Linked DNA regions of Caenorhabditis elegans. The protein of the gene in region 3 interacts with the protein of the main gene of each other region in a biochemical or structural test. Each region holds a gene or a part of one and is shown on either strand. Other genes may lie near its edges.

The links.
Region 1: the proteins of ced-10 (region 3) and srgp-1 form a complex in vitro, tested with the Caenorhabditis elegans proteins (one study listed by BioGRID).
Region 2: of the proteins of ced-10 (region 3) and pdr-1, one has a biochemical effect on the other in vitro, tested with the Caenorhabditis elegans proteins (one study listed by BioGRID).

The regions. Positions count from the first base shown.
Region 1 is NC_003282.8:11,567,760-11,574,739, forward strand, and holds the start of srgp-1 (Rho-GAP domain-containing protein), read left to right. Parts: upstream 1-2,740; 5' UTR 2,741-2,783; coding exon 2,784-2,952; intron 2,953-3,907; exon of another isoform or gene 3,908-4,210; coding exon of another isoform or gene 4,211-4,271; intron 4,272-4,768; exon of another isoform or gene 4,769-4,977; intron 4,978-5,922; exon of another isoform or gene 5,923-6,276; intron 6,277-6,855; coding exon 6,856-6,980.
Region 2 is NC_003281.10:13,769,952-13,776,176, forward strand, and holds pdr-1 (E3 ubiquitin-protein ligase parkin), read left to right. Parts: upstream 1-1,567; 5' UTR 1,568-1,579; coding exon 1,580-1,648; intron 1,649-1,693; coding exon 1,694-1,839; intron 1,840-1,929; coding exon 1,930-2,362; intron 2,363-2,408; coding exon 2,409-2,499; intron 2,500-2,778; coding exon 2,779-2,983; intron 2,984-3,036; coding exon 3,037-3,111; intron 3,112-3,157; coding exon 3,158-3,299; 3' UTR 3,300-3,393; downstream 3,394-6,225. Other genes in the region: cyk-4 (Rac GTPase-activating protein 1), read right to left, coding at 46-417, 468-960, 1,011-1,122, 1,167-1,272; mdt-29 (Mediator of RNA polymerase II transcription subunit 29), read left to right, coding at 3,519-3,566, 4,005-4,112, 4,608-4,817, 5,166-5,396.
Region 3 is NC_003282.8:3,503,496-3,511,486, forward strand, and holds ced-10 (Ras-related protein ced-10), read right to left. Parts: upstream 6,033-7,991; 5' UTR 5,999-6,032; coding exon 5,894-5,998; intron 5,614-5,893; exon of another isoform or gene 5,464-5,613; intron 5,106-5,463; coding exon 5,014-5,105; intron 4,747-5,013; coding exon 4,561-4,746; intron 4,077-4,560; coding exon 3,884-4,076; 3' UTR 2,833-3,883; downstream 1-2,832. Other genes in the region: ceh-53 (Homeobox domain-containing protein), read left to right, coding at 256-348; srz-83 (Serpentine Receptor, class Z), read left to right, coding at 949-1,107, 1,272-1,381, 1,435-1,714, 2,177-2,338, 2,387-2,620; tsg-101 (Tumor susceptibility gene 101 protein), read right to left, coding at 6,979-7,109, 7,697-7,990. UniProt on the Caenorhabditis elegans protein: Required in engulfing to control the phagocytosis of apoptotic cell corpses. Required in embryonic development for the correct positioning and orientation of the mitotic spindles and division planes in blastomere cells.

The DNA.
Region 1 (6,980 bases), 8.1 Mb from region 3:
TTTACTTACCCGATTTTTAATGACAATTTTGAGTTATGAACTTGAAAGCATTGAAATTATTTTGATCAATTTGTGGGTTTTATTTATTATTTAAATTTCAAACCCAGTATCGTTATACTGAATACGACTCGTAAAATATCATAGCATTTTTCTAATTTTTAAAATAGGTTTTTTAATCAGAGAATTTTATTGACCTAGTTTCGACATTTCCGGCTGAATTAATTGAGTTTTTGTTTTATAAATTGAAGCACAATTTATCAGTTTTTTCGCAATATTTAGAAATATTCTATTCATTTTTACTGATATATTCAGTAAATCGAGACAACACTGCTCTCAAGTTTCTCGATATTTTACAGTGACACATGGAGTTAAAGTATAAAATACTGTAGGATCAGATGTAATCGCATCATCATGAAATCCGCTTTTGAATCCCTTAGCCTCTTCAGAAGGACACTCGAAACTAATTTGGTTTTGACCCGATTCACATCGTTCTTTTATTCGTTTACTATTACTATTAGAATACCGTCCATCATCCGCTCCCTACATGTTTTCATATTGTCTCCTTCGACATTTATAATGTTTTTATTCATATGTTTTCAGTCTATTCTTTCTTTCTTTCTTTATTTCAACCTGTATTAAAGAGCATCCACGTCATCGTCTCCCCCTTTCTCTGCGTTTCCACTACTTGACCTAGTCTCTCGATTATCGCTGACAATCTCGAATTTCATCACAACATCTTCTCTTCTTCGACGCTCACCAGTTGTGGCTAGTCGATAGGCACCGGATCTCCATGTCCTTCTGCCGGTCACGCTTGACTTCTCAGCCCTCCACCATGTTCATGGATTCAGTGATGGGAATTGGAATAGCTTCATAGATTTTCTTTCCGGACCGGTCTTTTTTGGAGATTCTTCTTCATTCGGGAAGAACATGTGTCTAACCACCTACGTCTCTCTAGTCTTGACCGCTCTATCGCTCCAATCCGTGTTTACAGACCTTGGAAAGGCTCGGCGGAGCGCGCACGCACCTCTAGTCGTCGAATGCGCTTGTTAATTACGGCAAACATACGTTTCACACTTTATTTTTCTCTTTCTCGACGCACATTTCGAATTTCTATATGGTATTGCAAAATGCAAATAAATATATAGACTGTACTGTATTGCCTATCTCGCATTTTTCATGTTCTTTTCGTTTCCCATAAGAGTACATTAGCCGTGTAAGGAGGATTAGTGTAGGGATATTACGACGGCCACTACGAGAAGGTGCCAATTGGAACCTTGTTCTTCCCAAGTGGACGAGACAATGAGACCGATGAACGTCATCATTACATAACATTCTTATTCCTTCTTCATTGGAATACACTTTCTTTAATTTTAAATATTTATGTACTCATGAGACTATATAATCCATTCTGAGCTTATTAATTCTAAAATTTTTATATAAAAAATATTCCCAGTGCGCTATTCATTTCTTTATGTTGTCAGAAAAAAGTTATTCTTGTCTCTTGTGTCCGGCAGTGTCCGGCAGCGCCCTTGTTTGTCGGAAAGAGAAAACTAAAATAAAAGTTTTCCTCTCTTTTTCAAGAAGCCCAAGGCGTTTTTCACTTTCAATCGTTCCTTTCCTGCTTCGTCTTCCAAAAAAAAGCATGAATTTTTTGGAATAGCCGAAAGGCTTTAGAGACCGAGTCAAGATTGATGGCATCCTTTTGCCAGTCAGCTCCAAAACCAATATCCGTTATTTGGGATGTTTTTCTTCATTTCTCATTCATCAGGTATATGTTAGGTGCCGATTGAATGTTGTCGTGGAAGAGGAATATGATGTTGATGGACAATAAAGATAACATTGTCCTGGTCTTCCCCTCTCCTGTTGCCTCATAGTAATACTTTTACATAATCTCGGATGAATAAACATTTGTCCGTTCCATTTATGTTTTCTTCTTCTTCTTCTCGAAAATAGATTCGTTTCTATTGAAAGGGTCAATATTTAATCCATAGTTAATCTTCTATTGAGGAATTACTTTTCTTGAAGAAAAGAAGAGCAACGAATGTCGGTTTACTTCTAACTTGATATTTTTAAGCTTGTTATAAATATCAATTCATATTTATACTTTTTTGTTAAAAAATTATTTCAGGTAACTATGCATCTACGGGAGCCCCTCAAATATGTATGTAAAATATTAATTGTTTGCGCCCTAGTGGCTTTGTTTTCAAAAAAAAAAGACGATGACTTTAGCAAAAACGAAATCAAATACATATGCTTAATTCAGTCCATCTGCTTCACTTTATGTTGATGTCTATTCTCTTTTTGCAATTCCTATTATTTTTCTGTCGTTCCTCTTGTCCTGAAACCGTATTGTTACATGCCGTCCTCGGTGTTTCTTTCCACTGTTTTTCTGAAAGCTACGTCCACCAAACCCTTGTTCACTTTTTTTTTCTATTTTTCGCCAGCCACACGTTGATTTATGTGAAGTAGCAGTAAGGGGGCAAACGCGGGCTTTACCATCTGCCAAGCTAGTTACTTTTTTCGTCCCGCTCCTTGCGCTTTTTGCTTGCCCATCTCTTTTTTTGTGCTTTCTCAAACTAACTCTAGCCACTCAACTCTTATAAATCAATCAAACAAATTCTATAAATTGTCCTCCTTTTCTCCTTGCCTATCCTTTGTTTTTTTCAAACAATCCGTGTTTCTTCCATACTTTCCCCTTCAACCCGATATCATTCATTCAATTTATAATTTTCTTTTCCAGAATTTCACCCAAACCACTTGCTTCACCCGTGCCGACCCCAAACATGACGACGTCTTCGTCTGAAGGTGGGGCCGGTGGCCAGCACGAGGAAACTTCGATGACGTTAACTTCATCAACATCAGCAGACAGAAGATGCTCACAGGACGTGAGAAAACATTCACAGCACAAACAAGAAAAGGCGATTGTACACGATTTGGAGTGTGCTGCTAAAGGTGAGATTTTTTGAAATGTTGGAATCGTAATCTTTTCTTTTGGTAACTTCGAGAATTTTGCAACAAAAAAAATTAAAAAACCTTCCGTATTACCCAGACACAAAACTTTGTGATTTTCGAGCCAAAATACGGTAACGGGTCTCAACACGACAATTTTTTTTTGAAAAATACGAAGAGGAAATTTAATTAATTCTCTAAGTTTTTCTAACAATTTGTTAAAAATTTATGGATTTTATTTGAGTTTGAGAATACAGTAGTTTTTAAAGCACACTTTTTCGAAAATTCAACCAAAATTTATCGTGTCGAGACCGGGAGCCATATTTTTGGCGCAAAATTTCGCGTTTGAGTATCAAAACTGAAAAACTAAAAAATAGTTCGATATATTAAGCTTCAAAGTTTATTAAAAGTATTTGTCATCTTGATCTTCCCTCCAAGTTTACATTGAATTCATTTCGTTGTTTTTTCTTTCCGCTCACACCCTCTCCAACTAGTTTATGTTGATCCCATCACGAATTGGGGGTAAGTAGAGATATAAACATATATTACGTGCCACATTGTGAGGAAAAAACTTGTTCAATGTTCCTAGTGTTGTTCATCATAATCAAACATTTTAATTGCGATTTTAAGTATAGAACACTATCATTTTCATCCATTTTTCGCGCCTTTTCACCCTATTATCTAAACAATCATCAGCGGAAAGAAGTCGGTACACAGTCAGAGAGAGAAAGAACACACGGGCGGTGCGGGAAAAAAGAAAAGAAACATTTTCATTTCGCACCCCATCGCCATCGTCGGGCGACATCAACGCATTGACAATTTATTGCGATTGTGTGTTGGAAACTGCGGGAAGTCACTTGTCACTTGAACCAAAGTAATGAATAGTTATACTAGAGGGGAACTTGCGGAATAATAGAAATGTGATAGGGCATCAGTACGGGGGGAGTAGTGAATAATTCGAAGCCACTGCCGCCGCCAACCTTGTTCTCCCCTTATACCTGTGTCGTAAGTGTGTAAAGTTGTTTTGGAATCATTCTTCTTCTCTATGGAACTTAGAAAAGAAAGACGAAGACGCAGAAGATGAAAGGGCATGCGATGGAAACGGATCATCATCGCCCCACCCGGGAGCCATGAGAAGGCAGTTGTCTCTCTGTCTTCTCTCGAGAGAATCTCTTAGAGAACGAAAGTCATTTAGTCTTCTGTCTCTTCCCATCTTATTTTCCCACACTGGTGTTCGTTTTGATCTAAACGTCATGCGAACATGAGTATTCGACTACCACTATGTGCATCGATTGGTGTCGACGATCAGTATGATTTCCAAGGTTAGTTAGAATTGTAGAAGGCCCTACTTGAATAAAGTATGAATTTTCCAAGATAACAAATATTTTGTTTATATGTTTTGAATTTAACGAAACATGAAATTCACCACTGTAGTTTCTTATGCAAATAATTTCAAAACGACAAAAAAAAATCACTCAGAAAACCATGTGATGTGAAAACGCTTTCAGAATCATGAATTCGATGTTCTATTTTTCTCCAAATCTTATCTCCTTTTCGATCAAATTCGTGTGATAGTGGGATAGGCCCAATTCCTGTGACAATAATGACTCACAATGTTATAAACAGTGGAAGGAATCTCTTGTCAACATTCAATTCCTACTACTTTTTCATTCTTTCCGATACTATTTCATGATCCTTTTTTCCTACTTTCCGCACCTTGACTTCCGTCCTTCTCGTCCTCGACGTTTAATTGTTTCTTCTACCAACCCAAGAATGCTAATACTTTCTTCACTCCCTAGTTTTTGTCTTCATATCGTATCTTTGTTCGATTCGAATCGACCTGGCGTCCCAGACAATAGTAATGCCTCCTTCCGTGCACTTCAGAGCTCTTTCTGCAGCCACGGCCACCCATTTCATAAATCATCCTCAAAATTGATCCGTCAATTTCGTTGTCCCGTCTTCGTTGTCCCGTCCACTCTGGGTTTGCTCATGGACTCATCTTCAGAGGGATCTGTCCATCTATCTATCGGCTCCTTTTCTCTCGTTTTGTTCTCTAAGTATGTGTGTATGTCACACCTGCAATTCGGATTCCATGTGGTCGACACCACATGTTGCTTCTTTATATCATTCTTTCTTAGTTTTTTCTTCCAATTTTCGTTATTTTGAGCAGTTTCACCATAAAACCTTTACCACAAAAATATCGTAGATATAGCCATCAATTCAATGTACCAATTTCTACGGTCTATTAGTCGAGTAGACTAGAATACACGATATGCTTTGTACTGCTTTCTGACTCTCTCACCCACTATCAATGATTGATTTCTTAACATTCAGATTGGGCCGGATTACGTCCTCAATTTCTACAATGTGTAGACTTATAGAATTCAGAGAATAAAATAGTTGTCAATATCAAAGTTTAGTTTCACTAATTTTTTCTTCATCCATCTGTAGAATTACTTGACGTAGATTTTATTCTGCTATATTTTCCGCCAAAATCTCAAAACTCCCACATTGAATTCTTGATTTAAATTCCTACTTCAACTTGGCACATTTCAATGGCTGTGTAATTCAATTCGATGACTATGACTACATAATTAGGTAGGTAGTATCCTCGCCTTTCTCTCATAGATTTCCCACGACTACTGTTGTCTTCGCGCAGGAGGACTACCAAATAGAATGGGAATATGATATTGAATTGCTCTCATCTCAGAGTAGCTTCATACACACAAATGCACACGCACTGGTTGTGTCATTTAGGCTGATGAGCAATATGGTGGCGGCATCACCACTCTCTACACAGAAGACCGCCAAATGTGTCCGTATGTCTCCAAGGCGATCTCCATTATACAAGGAGGCGTTGAGAAGAAAGAAGGAGCGTCTTTCCATCTTTCTAGTGTTCTGAGCACTGGATTCCGATAAGCACTCGTATTCCTTACTTTTAAAAAACCCTCTAATGTTTCATCTCATCTCTAATTCACGCATTTCATTCAAATTCTCGTTTCGTTTTTCGTTTTCATCGTCTCCACCACCATCATAGTGAATTGGAAGAGAATGAAGGAAGACGAAGGAGAAGAACGTCAGTGAGGAGGAGCATGTGCGTGTCCTTCATGCTTTTGCCTCAGTCGCCATTTTTTACAAGTCTTCTCCCGTGTTTTTTGGCCGAGAAACACTGCAAAATGTTATGCATGAGTGTATGTGTGGGAAGAGTGTGTGGCAAAGCACGGCGCGAAAAATTTCATTTCAGTTCTCTTTTTTCCACGTCCATGAGCTCTCTGCTTACTCTCCCGCAACTCATAATTTGATCTGAAGAACACCTTTCCCCTCCCAACGAGGCAAACAAATTTGAACTCGATGGTGCAATGTAACCAGCAAACAGTTGCCGCCATCTTATGAGATTTATTGCTGGGAGGAGAGGCCTATAAGGCATGGGAAATGTCTGTATTGTCTGTTTGTTTTCATGTTTATTTGTACAAATGTTGCAACGTTTTCTATTTTCCAAAGAATCAAATAGGGGTTTTCAACAAAACATTTTTCCGTATTTAAGATAAGTTTATTCCAGCTATAATTTCTCAATCCTCTCGTAAAGTATTCATTTTCTTTACATCCCCTATTCAATGTCTGTTTTGGTGTTTTTATTTCCAATAGCAGTGAGAATCTCATTTCTTTTCTTCCTTTAATACTATAAATGACTTTCGAGAAAAGAAGCGGAAGTATCATTGTTGAGAAGGAGACACCACCAGAAAAAGGCTCTTTGCCAATATTGCGACACATAAAGGGGCTCTTTTTGTTTTTCAATTCTCCCTTTCTCTCACTCAGACAACACAGAAAAATGAATGGGCAATTTAACTGCTGACTCTCCTTTCTTATTGCAACAATTTCCTTGAATACAATCGTTTGTTTTTTCAGAGTTCCGCACGAAAATGAGCGACCAGCTGAAATGTCTCGGAGATCGAACAGATGTACAGATGAGCAGTCTCTCCGAACTTCAGGATTACTTTCGGAAACGAGGCGAAATCGAGTCAGAATATGCG
Region 2 (6,225 bases), on a different chromosome or scaffold from region 3:
ACAGAGCTCACTTTAAAGAAATTTGTTAGCATTTTTTACACGTACCGCTTTGATTCCTGCCTCTATAAACGTGTGTGGTCTCATTGCGATGTCACGAGTTGTTCCATTAGTCCACGCCGGCGTGCCACGTTTCAGGGTTCGGATATCAAGTGTGCTTTTGGTGAGAATGGCGGACGACATGCCGAGGCCGATGTTATTTGTGGTTTGTCCTGGTGTTTGATCGCATGATGGAATACTTCCACAGCTCAAGCTCCTGCGGGTGAGCTGGCGGTGAAGTGAGACACGTGGCGGGTCCTGGTTCTGAGCTCGAGAGTTATGAATAGTAGTGGTGGTGGTGGTAGTGGTGGTAGTTGTCATTTCTTGATGAGGTGTAGAACCATCATCACGGCATCTTTTTGGAGGTGTACCACCCTCATTCTGAAAGAACAAACGCAATTCAACAAAAACTGTCATGTCATAATTTTTACCGGCTCTTCATCTATAGTAGCTGTCATAACACGGCTTCTGCTCCTCTTCGAATTGGCAGCAGCAGTAATCGCATGTGCTGACGCGCTTCTCCGCTTGCCACCAACTGCGTTTCCAGCAGCTGAGCTTCTTCTGACCTCTCTTCCATTGCGCAAATGAATAACTTCCTCGAAACTGTCTCCAGTTTCATCGTAATCCACCTCACTATCGTCCTCATCGTCCTGTGTGTCCTCCATCAAATGTGGATGCCTCTGCTGCACCCGTTTCGAGTATGTCCGGACCAGTGGCTCGTGAAGAAACTTGAACTGATCGCGGTCTTCCTTGGTGAGACTATTGAATATACCGTTCTTCATCGCATCTTTCAGCTGCTTTTCACGAGTCTCGTAGACGTTTAGATCGAGCTTCAACGCCTTATTTTCTTCCATCAACGCGCGTAAATGTTTCTGAGTGTCTTTGACATCGATATCGAACATTGCCAGCTTCTTGCGAGCTTTTCTGAAATAATAGTGTTTTCTAAACACGTAAACATGAAATATTTCACTTACGCAAGTGCTTCTTCGGCCTCTCTCATATCTGCATTCAGCCGCTTTTTGGATTCCTCGGAATCTTTCCACAGCTTGCGGAGACGCTCAATCTCATCAATCAAATGAAACATTCCTGAAACACGTCATTAAAATTTGAAAATGATAATTGAAACTAACCTATATCCTTAATATCGAATTGCGGTCGCTGTGAGTTTAGAATCATGTTGAAAATGTGACGCGAGTTTTCGCCGCACACCTTCTCTTTTGATGTACTGGACTTCATTCTAAAATGTGGAAATGATTAGAAAACGAGAAACTCGCCCGAAAATAAGAGAAAAATGCGTGAAAACCGTTTCAAATTTCGTGGAAAACAGTTCGAATTTGAAGCTCGCTGCGTTTGTCTCACACGCGACGCGACCCGCTACGCTTGCCATAGGGCGCACATGACTGCGAGGACTAGTGTGCACAAAAACATGGGGCTTCAAGGCCTCGACTAGTTTTTTGAATTTAATGTTTAAAACTGCAAGCAGGCCCGCTAGCAGGAAATTTTTTTGTTAATTTCTAAGTCAAATTTTCAGCTCTCATGAAGCATGTCTGATGAAATCTCTATATTAATACAAGATAGAAAAACAGGTCAACGTAGGAATCTAACACTTAATGTAGTGGACATTTCAAACTTTGAATATATACATTATTTTTTTCAGATAAATATAACTGGAAATATCGAAGATCTCACAAAAGATGTGGAAAAGCTCACCGAAATTCCCAGCGATGAGCTGGAAGTGGTTTTCTGTGGGAAAAAGTTATCAAAATCAACGATTATGAGGGATTTGTCACTGACACCTGCAACGTAGGTCAAGTAAATATTTACTTATATAAATAACTGGAATTGTTATTTATATAAATAACTGGAATTGTTATTCAAATAATATTATTTCAGACAAATCATGCTTCTCCGTCCAAAGTTCAATAGTCACAACGAAAACGGTGCTACTACTGCAAAAATAACAACAGATTCTTCAATTCTCGGAAGCTTCTACGTGTGGTGCAAAAATTGTGACGACGTCAAGCGCGGCAAACTGCGGGTTTATTGCCAAAAATGCTCGTCAACCTCTGTTCTAGTCAAATCTGAACCCCAGAACTGGTCCGACGTTCTCAAAAGCAAGAGAATACCGGCGGTCTGCGAAGAATGCTGTACTCCAGGTCTTTTCGCTGAATTCAAGTTCAAATGTCTAGCCTGCAACGATCCGGCCGCAGCTCTAACTCACGTACGCGGAAATTGGCAAATGACCGAGTGCTGTGTTTGTGATGGGAAGGAGAAAGTGATCTTCGACCTCGGATGCAATCATATTACATGCCAATTCTGTTTCAGAGTGAGTAAGAATCTAAATTTTTTGTTGAAATTGTTTAATTTTAAAGGATTATTTGCTAAGTCAACTGGAACGATTCGGTTTTGTCAATCAGCCGCCGCATGGCTTCACCATTTTCTGCCCCTATCCAGGGTGCAATAGTTCGTTCGATTTTATCAAAACCATTCAATTTTCTGCAGTAGTGATCCTGAAAACTAATTGATAGAAACAAAAAATCTTCCAAAAAATACAAATATGTTATGTTTCCATTTTGCAAGTCTGGCATGGTTTTTTTTTTGCAAAAAAAACCCCCACCCGTTCTATTTAAATTTATTTTGAAAATTTTCTCACATGTTTCAATAGTTTTTCAATGCCGAGAAAATTGAAAAAAAAAGTTTTAAAGAAATTAAACAGAACATTTAATTGAAAAATAACTTCAGGAGTGGTACAAGATGTGCACCATTTCCACATTATGGGTCAGACGTCGTACAGCGAATACCAACGGAAAGCCACCGAGCGATTGATTGCCGTGGACGACAAGGGTGTGACTTGCCCGAATGTCTCGTGTGGGCAGAGCTTCTTCTGGGAGCCCTATGATGACGATGGAAGATCCCAGTGTCCAGATTGTTTTTTTTCGTTTTGCAGGTATTTTGAGCTTCTAAATCGGAAATTTTATCGCAATAAATATCATCGTTCAGAAAGTGCTTCGAAAGAAATTGTGTGTGCCAGAGCGAAGACGATCTCACCCGAACTACAATTGACGCGACTACAAGGTGATCTCAGCGATTATCCACTACAAAAAACTGTAAATTCTTCCAGAAGATGCCCAAAATGCCACGTGGCAACCGAACGGAACGGCGGATGTGCTCACATTCACTGTACCTCGTGTGGAATGGATTGGTGTTTCAAGTGCAAGACAGAATGGAAGGAAGAGTGTCAATGGGACCATTGGTTTAATTAATAACTCTCTAAAATTCATCTTTTCTAGAGATTGTACGTGTTATTCTGTAGATTTTTACAACAATTACGGTGTGTCTGAAGTTACATTGACATTTTTTCTCTTCAAATTTTAGATCTTTTTCTCAATTTTTGTTGCTGAGTATTTCGCTCATTTCATACCTTTTTTTAAATGTTTTGCCAAATTTCAAAGAACACATTTCTCGCAGGGATCTCCATAGACATGTCAGGACAAGGACCTCCACCAAGTATGACGCCGCAGCAACAACATGTAAGATTTTTTGTGCTTTTGAACTTGAGAGTAAATTTTAGTGAATTTGAGCACATTTTACAACCTTTTTCGGAAAAATTTCACACTTTTCTACGGCTTCATCCTTAAAACAATTGAAGTCAAAAAATGTCTTTTTTTTAATTTTGGGAACAAAAAAAATTAATGAAAATGTACAATCACACCAACATGGAAACATTTCTTGAGCTTCGGGATATATCTCAGTTTTGGAGTGGGCTGAAAATTATTTTTTTCATGAAAATTAAAAAAACAACTTTTTCATGAAAACAAAACTCACCGCATTTTTTAACTGAAATTTGAAAATTTCTCACTCAAATATCCTTTAAAGTTTCATTTTAAGACGTTTTCAGAGCTTTTTTAAAACCATATAACCAAATTTTAAACTAGGAATAAAAAGATTATAAAATAAAAACATTTCAGATGTTAATGCAGCAGCAACAGCAGCAACAAATGATGCGGCAGCAACAAATGCAGCAACAACAAATGCAGCAGCAACGTCAACAGCAAATACAACAACAGGCTCAACAGGTAGTAATATACCGTCCAATTTATCGAAAATTTGAAATAGCACTTTCTGATAAATTTTTTAACGTAAAATTAAAATATTTTATGATTTTTTCCGCAAATTTCTGATCGAAATTTTTTAAAACATTAAATTAAACAGATTTAGCGTATTTTATCGCTAAAACTAAAGAAATTTGATAGGAAACATACCATTTCGGTTTTTTTAAATAGTAAATAATAACACTACGATACAAATAAAAAGCGCTTAAACATATATTATTCGGTACTTGTGTATTATACCCCCGCCATTTTAAAAATTAATTTTTTAGCTTATAAAATAAAAACGTGTGGAATTTTAGGCTTAGGAAAACACCATTCCTAAGCCTAACAAGGAAAATGGGTATCACGTTTAATTTAAACGGATAAATTAATGGAAATTTAATTAATTTCTAAAATGGCGGGGGTATAATACACAAGTACCTATTATTCTGTAAAATATCGATTTACCACAATTTTCAGCCATACCAACGAGCTCGAACTCCACAAATGGTACCACAAGGAGGCTCGCCGGGAGGTGCTCATCTCCAAATGCATCCTCATCTTCAACCACAAGGACAAATGCAACCGAGAAGCCCTCTAGTTGGAGCACAGCTTCAGGCTCCCTCGTCGGTGCCCACTGCCGCAAATCCGACCACTCCACAGATGATGCAACAGCAAATGGGCATGAATGTACGGGGAGATTTCTGATAAAACTTAGAACTATTGAAAAAATATTTGGAAAAAATTCAAAAAGGGGAAATTAGTGAGAGTTGGAAATTCGTGTTTTTGGAATTTTCATTTTCTTTTCTTTTTTTTGTGGTATTTCAGCATATGGAATGTTCCTAGTATTTTAAAACTGAAAGTAAATCCCCATTTTCCGAACTCTACTTTCATTCAAATTTCCGATTATTTTGTTCAGAATTTTTGTTGGAAATTAAAAAAAAACCAATCTAAAACAATTGGCCGTTCAAACATAAATCTCCAAATAAAAGTAATTTGTGACAATCTTTTTTAGCTGAAAAAAAAATGTAATTTCAGCAACCAATGTCTCTTCCGCCAACACACGTCTCACGTCCAGGCTCAGTTGCTCCGCCGTCGTCGGTTCCCGTCAATTTACAACACACATCTGGTGCACCCGGGCTCCCGGGCTCACAAATGGAGCATCAGTACCCAATGCATTTGCAGCCACAACAGCAGACATTATCAAGGCCGGGGTCTCAGCAAAGTCAACATATTCAACAACCCGGAAGCATTCAAAGACCTGGATCGGTAAATTTTCGGATTTTATTGAAAAATTTTAAAAAAACAGAGAAGAAATATACAGTGCTTCACATAATGATACGGCCACCCCCAAATTTTGGTATAACTCAAAACTGGGTTGAGATAGCAAAACATAGTTTCTTGTGAAAATGTTCGCTGTACTGGCTAACTTTCAGATAAGTATTGGAAATATACCTGAACCGTTCGTAAAAAAAGATAAACCATTTTTTCATGAAAAACCATATAAAAAAATCCACAAAATGATACGGCCACCCTTGGTTTTTGTTTTCTTTTTTCGTTTTTTTTGCAATTTTTTTTGCTAAACGTTAGGTTTCATGTTCGTTTGTGTTTTTACAGCTATGGGTCGTGGAATAACTTTAACTGACTACGAAAAAGGACAAATTGTGCAAAATTATCTCAAGGCTTCTCGGATCGTCAGATTTTTCGTGATTTGAAACGTTTGAGAGATATGATCACTCGATATGCTTCAAATCCTGCCGCTTATTGCACCAAAAAGTCTTCTGGTCGCCCACCACTCCTTTCTGGTAGAGACAAGCGAAAAATCGTTCGTCGAGCATTCAATTGAACAGTGACTTGCTCGAAAAGTAGGAGCGAGATGAACCTGCCAGTGTCTGTTGAGACCGTACGTCGTGTCCTTCGAAGTCCCAGTTTATCAAAAGACGAAAATTAATAAAGGCTAATTTCATTACCGAAAAACACGGCCAAAATCTTATTCAGTTTGCTAAAATCAGCCAGAGAACTAACTGGAGACAAGTGAGGATTACGGTATGATCATTCAATCTCATGTTTTGGTCTCAGATCATCTTCAGTGGCGAGA
Region 3 (7,991 bases):
AATAGGCATAGGCAGGCATGTAGGCAGGGGAACAAACTTTTTTTTTTAAGTTTTCGAATATTTGCTTACCTACTTACAACAAGATTAGCCTAATCTCTCTTCCCATCACCCAAAATAGTTACAGTACCTGGGGGGGGGGGGGGGGGGGGTAACCTGATATTCAGATTAGGTACTTGTATTAGGTGGCTCGGAGTACAAGATTAAGCCGCCCAAGTAAGTGGGGAGTAAAACAAATATTTTTTAGAGTTTTTGCAGATTCCTACACATTTGCTGGCGGCCACGACGACGGCGGCATCGATAGGCAGTGCCAAATTGGTGGCAAATGTTGGAAGTAATATTATTTCTTGAGTTGTGTTTTGTTTTTGTAAGTATATTATTAATTAGAAATTGAATTGGAATAATGAATTTTAATTTTTTAAAAAAAACTTTTTTCTGAGAATAATTTTCGAAAATTTAAATTTCTGAGTTTTTTGAAACTTTTTTTTCTAAATTGTTAATTGGCCTCCAAGTTTGCCCCTGATTTCGAATATTTATGTGAAAAAATTCAAAAAAATTTCCCTGATTTTAAATTTCAGCTAAAGATCGAGTTTCATTTGTGCACCCATGACCTTTTCAAATGTGTGCTCAAAGAAATTCACATTGGAGCACGCTTGCTTCATCTCGATTTCCGGGAGCTAAGCAAGCGCACTCCAATGATAATTTTTTGGCGCGCATTTGAAAAAACTCATGGGGACGCAAAGTGATTTCAAGCTCAAATATAAAATCAGAGAATTTTTTTTCGAAATCAGGGGTTTGTACTTGTTTGAAAATATTTTCCAAATTTCGGTACTCCACCTTTAAACAGCTGCCAATTTTATTATTATTATTTTCTCATAGTTTCTCAAGTGCAGGTGAATTATCGCACCCCATTTCTACTCACTTTTTTTTTCAAAACCCGAGTAGAAATCAATGAACGACACCAAAATTTCAAATAACTCCGATAACATATATTTCGAAAGCATAGGAGCTGAATTTGACCTTATATCATATGCTTTTTTATTAATTAACTTAATTATATTTCCATTCTACAAGTATCTCTATGAAATCAATAGAGACCGGGACAAGAAGGTAATGGGGTTATTCAAGTAATGTCGGAAAATTAAAAAGTGTAGAAAAATTACGTCACAACTGTATTCAAGTATATAAAAACATGTATCTAAATACATTTTGCTACATTACTTGAATAACCCCATAAGTGATTTTCTGAAAATTAGTGGAAAATTTTTTGGTAGATGCTGCTCTTCCCAACAGTTCAACATTTTTACGAAATGGTGCAGCTAGCGTATTTCCTGTTTGTTTTCTCGATTATTCTCCATACGTTGCTACATGTAATTCACGAAATGTACTGTTTCAGTTTTAAAAAAACCATTTTTTAAAGAATTTTCTGATTTCCAGTGTAATAATTCGCTTTCTAATCGTTGTGATCTTTTATGCATTGTGTTTTACCATGTATCATCTTACAAAGGCATTTTATCTTACCACGTTTTTCCTGGCATTCCAACAATTTCTGGTTTTCTATTTCCCAAAACTGGAGAAGCAAGTTTCAATTATCCAGAAACACTTTTTCAAGGACGTTTGGTATTTATATATCATATTTTTAATAACAGAAGCGATACTATGGGTTCTATCAAATGGAAGCACAGCGGCTGAGGCAAAGTTTGACACATTTTCCAGTGTACGTTTAATGGAACTTTGACACCTGAAAACTATTCAGAATCATCAGATAAATTTAATTTCCCGCCAAATTATTTTCTCATAAAATCTAAAATTTCCAAGAAAAAAACTTTCAAAACCTTTTTTTACCTTTTCCGCCAAATTTGATTAGAACTTTTGAATTTCCCGCTGTAGATTAATTCAGAATATTTGGATTTCCCGCCAAAAATTGTTATATTTTCATTCAGAGTAAAATTTTTTGTAGAAAATTTAAATTTCGCGCCAAAGATTTTTCAGTAAAATTTTTTAAATTTCTTGTCAAGCTTTCTATCAGAAAAGTTGCATTTCCAACAAAAATAGTATCACAAGAAATTGGTATCTTCCACAAAAAATTTATATCTGAAAATTTGAATTTCCGCATAAACTTTTCTTTGAAAATTCTGACTGTCCCGTCAATCCGATATTACATAATTGACTATTTTAGGCAACCATCATTATTCCGTATGTCTTACAACTGTTTTCAACACTATTTTATATTCCGATCATGAGAAGCGTTAGAAAAAATGCTTACGTAACCTCTGGTCATTATTATATTCTGCAAAAGTACATTTTCTGGCAGGCAGTCACTGCGCTAATATTTGAATCGGTATTTAGTTCGATGTAATTCAATTTTATTTTTTGAACCAGTTTTCAGTTCCCAATCATATTTAGCACTATCCAGTTGTTACATGGTTCTTGTGGGTGCTCTTTTGTGGTAATCGCTACCTTAGTGAGTACTCTTATAACTCCGTTGACTATTCAAGTTCCGTATTTGGGAAGCAGAAAATGGATTGGAGATTCATCGGAAAAAATCAGTTTGAAAAGATTTATCAAAGTGATTTTGGGGATCAAGAGTTTCAGCGTCAACCCACACATTAACGATCAATGAACACACACACGTGCTTGCTGGGTGGCCAATGCCCGGGGACTAGAAAACTCCTAGAAATCTAGGTTTTCTAGGCCACCGAGAAAACAAAAGTTCGGAAATTTTTTAGGATTTTTTTCATTCATTTCTGTGTCCGATTAACAAATGTAAAAAAACTCAGAATCTGAAATTTTTGATCGAAAGTTTCAGAAAAATCTGTAATCTCTGCAACTTTTCGAATTGTTTTTTTTTCCAATTTTTCCATCAAAAAATGTTCAAATTTAAAATTCCATCATAGAAAAAAAGTGTGGTAAAATATCATATCATCATATTAAAATAGCATAATAAAAGTTGGACAAAAAGAAGAGAAATTAACAATTAAAGTAAGAAAAAAGGGAAAAAGAGCCGAGTTTGTTGTTCAAATTCACAATAGAAAAAAGAGGATTTTTGGTTGTGGAGAGAGGGTTCGTTGTGTCCTAAAAATTACAAAAAAAAATCGAAAGTTTTTGAAAAAAAGTTTCAGAAAAATTCCAAATAATTTTTCAAACAAATTCCAAAAAGTTTGAACATTTTTTAGAAAAAATCGTAGAGATTTCCAAACATTTTCAGATTTTTCGAAGAAATTTCACAAAAATTTCGAAGAAATTTCAAATAAAAAAAATAAACCGATAAAAATTAGAGAGGAAAAAGCACTTGTGGTTTTTGGGGAAAAGTTATTCAATTTTTCAGATGAAAAAAGACCTATTTCAGGTGGGAAAAGGGGAAAAGCACAAAATTATGAATGGACAAATTGAGCATTTTTCGGCTCAAAAATGAGCACAAAATATGCTGAAAATTGGGGTGGATAAGTAAGAAAAGTATCACAGCGAGTTTAAGATGAAAAATCGTTGATACAAAACAAATTTTTAGAGATAAAAATAGAGGGGGAAAATGAGAAAAAGTGTGCTGGAAATTCAGATTTAGAGAGTGGAAACGCCCAGATTTTGGACAATTTTCTGGAAAAAAATCGAGAAATTTTCGGCTGAAATTGAGCTTTTTCAGTGGAAATTTGGCCGATTTTCGGTTAAAAAAAATAGTAATTTTCAGCCGATTTGGAGCATTTCTTTGAACGGAAATCGGCGAGTTTTTTGCCTAAAAATGCTCAGTTTTTGCCAATTTTTACTCCCTAAAAACCGGTAATTTCACAGCAAAATTCATCGATAAAACAAAAAAAATCCAGATGATATATGTATATATATAGTTAAAATTGTTGTAGTTTCTGCGATTGTTTGCTCCAATTTCCCCATCTTAGAGCACCGTACACTTGCTCTTTTTGGCTCTTTGTGGCGGCGTGAGCACGGCTCGGATCGCCTCATCGAAAACTTGTTTCAGACCACGTTGCGTGAGCGCCGAGCACTCCAGATACTTGACAGCCTTGATTTCCTTTGCCATCACGTAGCCCTGGGTTTGGCTCACTGGTTGGAGCCGGCGTTCGCGGAGCCTGCAAAAAAAATTTTTTTTTTCGGAATTTTTGCAAGTTTTCTCGATTTTAAGCCAATTTTGTTTAATGTGCTTTTTTTCAAAATTTCAAACTTTTGTCCACAATTTATGCGAATTTAGTGCAACTTTTTACATTTCTTTAGCGATTTATCTTAATTTTAATTTTTTTTTCAACATTTTGAGCAAATTTCTCAAAATCTTGCAAATTTTTTTCCAAAATTTTATGTGAATGTTGTGCTATTTTACGCAACTTTTCATACAATTTTTGCAATTTTTTTTCCTGAAATTGATGCGTTTTTTCCTTATTTCTCATTTTTTTGCCGTTTCTAATGATTTTTCTAATGTTTTGGCGGTATTCCTTCAATTTTTAAGTGATTTTCTGAATTTTTATGCGCTTTTTCGAATTTTTTGGCAATTTTTCATCATTTTCTACAAATTTTTCACTTTATTCCTCAATTTTTCTCTCAAATTCTCCAAAAATCTACCGTTCAACAGTATCTCGATCCTCACGCAGATCAGCTTTCGTTCCAACCAAAATAATCGGCGTATTCGGGCAATGATGTGACACTTCTGGATACCATTTCGCACGAACATTCTCAAAACTCGCCGGATTGTTCAGGGCAAAGCATACGAGAAACACGTCTGTTTGTGGATATGACAGTGGTCGGAGTCTGCAAATTTTTTTGGTGTTGAAAAATTGATAATTGGGGTAATTTTTAGTGCAAAGTGCGAAAAATTCCATGTTTTTCGAGTTTTTCACCACAAAATAGCTTCAAAATCACTGTCATTTTATGAAAAATTGGATGAAATTTTCTAAAATGTGATATTTTCCACATTTTGATTGAGGAAAATATCACATAATCCTGAGCAATTTTTTATTGAAAAAACCCATAATCCTGAGTTTTTTCGAGCATTTTCAGTTTTCCCGCTGCCCGTACCGATCGTAATCTTCCTGTCCAGCTGTATCCCAGAGCCCGAGATTTATCGGCCGACCGTCGACCATCACATTTGCTGAGTAGTTGTCGAATACCTGGAAAAAATTTGAATTTATGGGAAAAAAGCATTTTTTTGGGAAAAAGAAGACACCTTTCATATTTTTTGCGGGAAATTGTGCGCTTTTCAAAATTTTCAATTTTTTTGTTGCAAAAAGCCTACAATTTTATTGCATTTTTAAAAGTTTTTTGAATCAAAATTTTCTAGATTTTCCGTTTAAAAAAACTGAAGTTTTTTGAAATTTTCGACATTTTTTTTTCAAATAAAAATACCAATTTTTATATGAAATTTCACCATTTTCCCAGCTTTTGGTATAAAAAATATTAATTTATTGATTTTTATGGGAACAAGTTGACAATTTTCATATTTTTCAGCAAAATTTCGCTAAAAATGTGTTTCTTAAAACGATTTTTGCAGAAAACTTTTTTATCGCATTTTGAAAAGTTTTTTGTCTAGATTTTCCGTAAAAAACGGAAGTTTTAATTTTCATACTTTTCAGTGAAATTTCACTTATTTTTTTGATTAAAAAAATGTACTTTTTAAAACGATTTTTAGCAAAAAAAATTTAATTTAAATTATTTTTTATTTAAATGTTTTATAAATCAAAATGTTCACGATTTTCAGTATTGATAATTTCACTATTTTTCCCAGTTTTTGGCCTAAAAAAATATTTATTTCAATGATTTTTGGATCAAAATACAACAATTTTGAATATTTTTTGCCTAAATTTCTTTGTTTTTTTTTTTCGATTTTGTGTCAAAATGTCCTATTTTCTGAGCCAAAAAACGTAATTTTATCTCAATTTTTGCTTTAAAAATGACTCACCGTCGGAATATATTCTCCGGGAAATGCGTTTGTGGTGTAGGATATCAGGAGACACGTTTTACCGACGGCTCCGTCACCAACGACGACACATTTGATCGCTTGCATTTGTGGGGAGCTCCGCGAGCACAAGCACAAAAAGCTGGAAAAATTGGCTTAAAAATAGCAACAAAAAAAATCTATCAAAAATATTGAAAAACCGCCAAAAATCACGGTATTTTGAGCGAAAAAATCAGAAAAAAATGGGGGGAAAAATCACATTTAAATTAAAATTTTTGTACAAAAAATAAATGAACAAAAAACCTGAAAAAGTCATCGAATTTCGAGAGAAAAGCGAGCTTTTCCCCCGGGAAAAATGGGGAAATGGGTGCAAAATTGGATATTTTAAATGGGGAAAAATCTAGAAAATTGTGTCTATAAAACGGAAAAAAAGAGAGAGAGAGAGAGAACAAACCAAATCACAACGGGCATCAAGACGGAGAGAAAGGGAGTATTAGAGAAAAATGGCGGCAATGGGAGAAATTTTGAAATGAGAAGATGGAAAAATGAGTGAAAACCGTAATTTTTTTGACAAAAAAGTCACTGAAATTCGTCGTAATTTACATGTTTCGGCTGGAAAATCGTCAAAAAAAGAAAGCTTTTTTCGAGGTAATTTTCAATAGAAGCTCCATCATTTTTAACGGGAATTATTGAAATTTACAATTTTCGGCTGAAATTAGAAGATTTAAGTGAATTTTTAACGGAAAAACATGTAAAAAACTTGAAAAATCACGGAAAAGCACCGAAATTTTGATGTTAAACAATTTTTCATCAGGAAAATAAATGAAATATGGAATTTTTAGCTAAAATCGTTTTAAAAAAATGCATTTTTCTCGATTTCTCAGCAATAATTTTAAGTTTTTCGTCAGAAAATCGCTGAAATTCCCACTTTTTATTGAAAAAAGTATTTTTCATCCAAAAATCGAGAATTTTATCGAATTTTTAGCATTTTTATGGACAATTTTTCACGATTTTCCAGTTTTGGTCAAAAAATTAGCAATTTTTTCTCAAAAATTTCCACGATTTTCAATCCAAATTTTATTTAAATTTTAAATAGGAAGACCAGCAGTTCGTCGACATTTCTGCATTGTTGCTCGGTAGATAAATTGCTCTCGGGACACGTCACGAACATGGCGGAGGTATTCGGCAAGTGTTATTTGGCGTTTTTTCAGTGATTGACCTGAAATTTTGAAGATTAGGCAAAAAAAAAATTTCTCATAAATACCATAATTTTTTTTCGTTTTTTTTTTTGCTGGATTTCGGAAAAATTTTTACACCGAAAATTTGCTGAAATTCCAATTTTCAGTCATTTTCAATAATTTTTCTATCAAATTTCCGCAAAAAAAAAACACTTTTGCTAAAATAAAACCGAAACTGATTTTTGAACGATTTCAACAAAATTTTGGAGTAAAAATGGCTGAAAATTGTTCAGAAACTTCCAATTTTTTGTAGTTTTTGTGAATTTTCTAGAATTTAAAGTCAATTTTAACTAATTTCTGTTTTTTTTCGGGGGTTTTTGAATGATTTGTAGTAGTGCTAATAGACGAAATCGTTGAAAAATTTCAGAAAAACGCTTTTAATTTGGCTTCAAATCTCTCAGAAACTTCGAAAAATCTCAACTTTAATTTAATTTTTTTGAAACATTTTCACTAGTTTTTCTTAATTTTCAACTTCTGCATTTTTTGAAAACAATTTTTGCACATTTTCCTCAGGATTGAGCAATTCCAGCTAGATTTTTCCAATTTTTCCCAACTTTTCGTTCCATACCAAGTGAATAAATGACGTCATCACATGTCAAATCTTTCGCATAATTGAGCACAATTTGTCGGTGCAACGGAAAAGCGGCATCAATTGCCTCATCAATTGGTGGAGCATCAGTGCCTCCAGCGTCTGAAAGAGCTTTCGCGAGCTCTGCTTTCTTTGCCGTATAGATTTCACAGGCGGTCTGAAGGCTGCTCCGTTGAGTTTCGAGCTCTTCGAGCATTCTTTTCAGCTTTTGCTGTCCTTCACGAAGCTCGTCGCTCGTCGTACGGATTGATGCCATTTCTGCGCTATTTGTGCC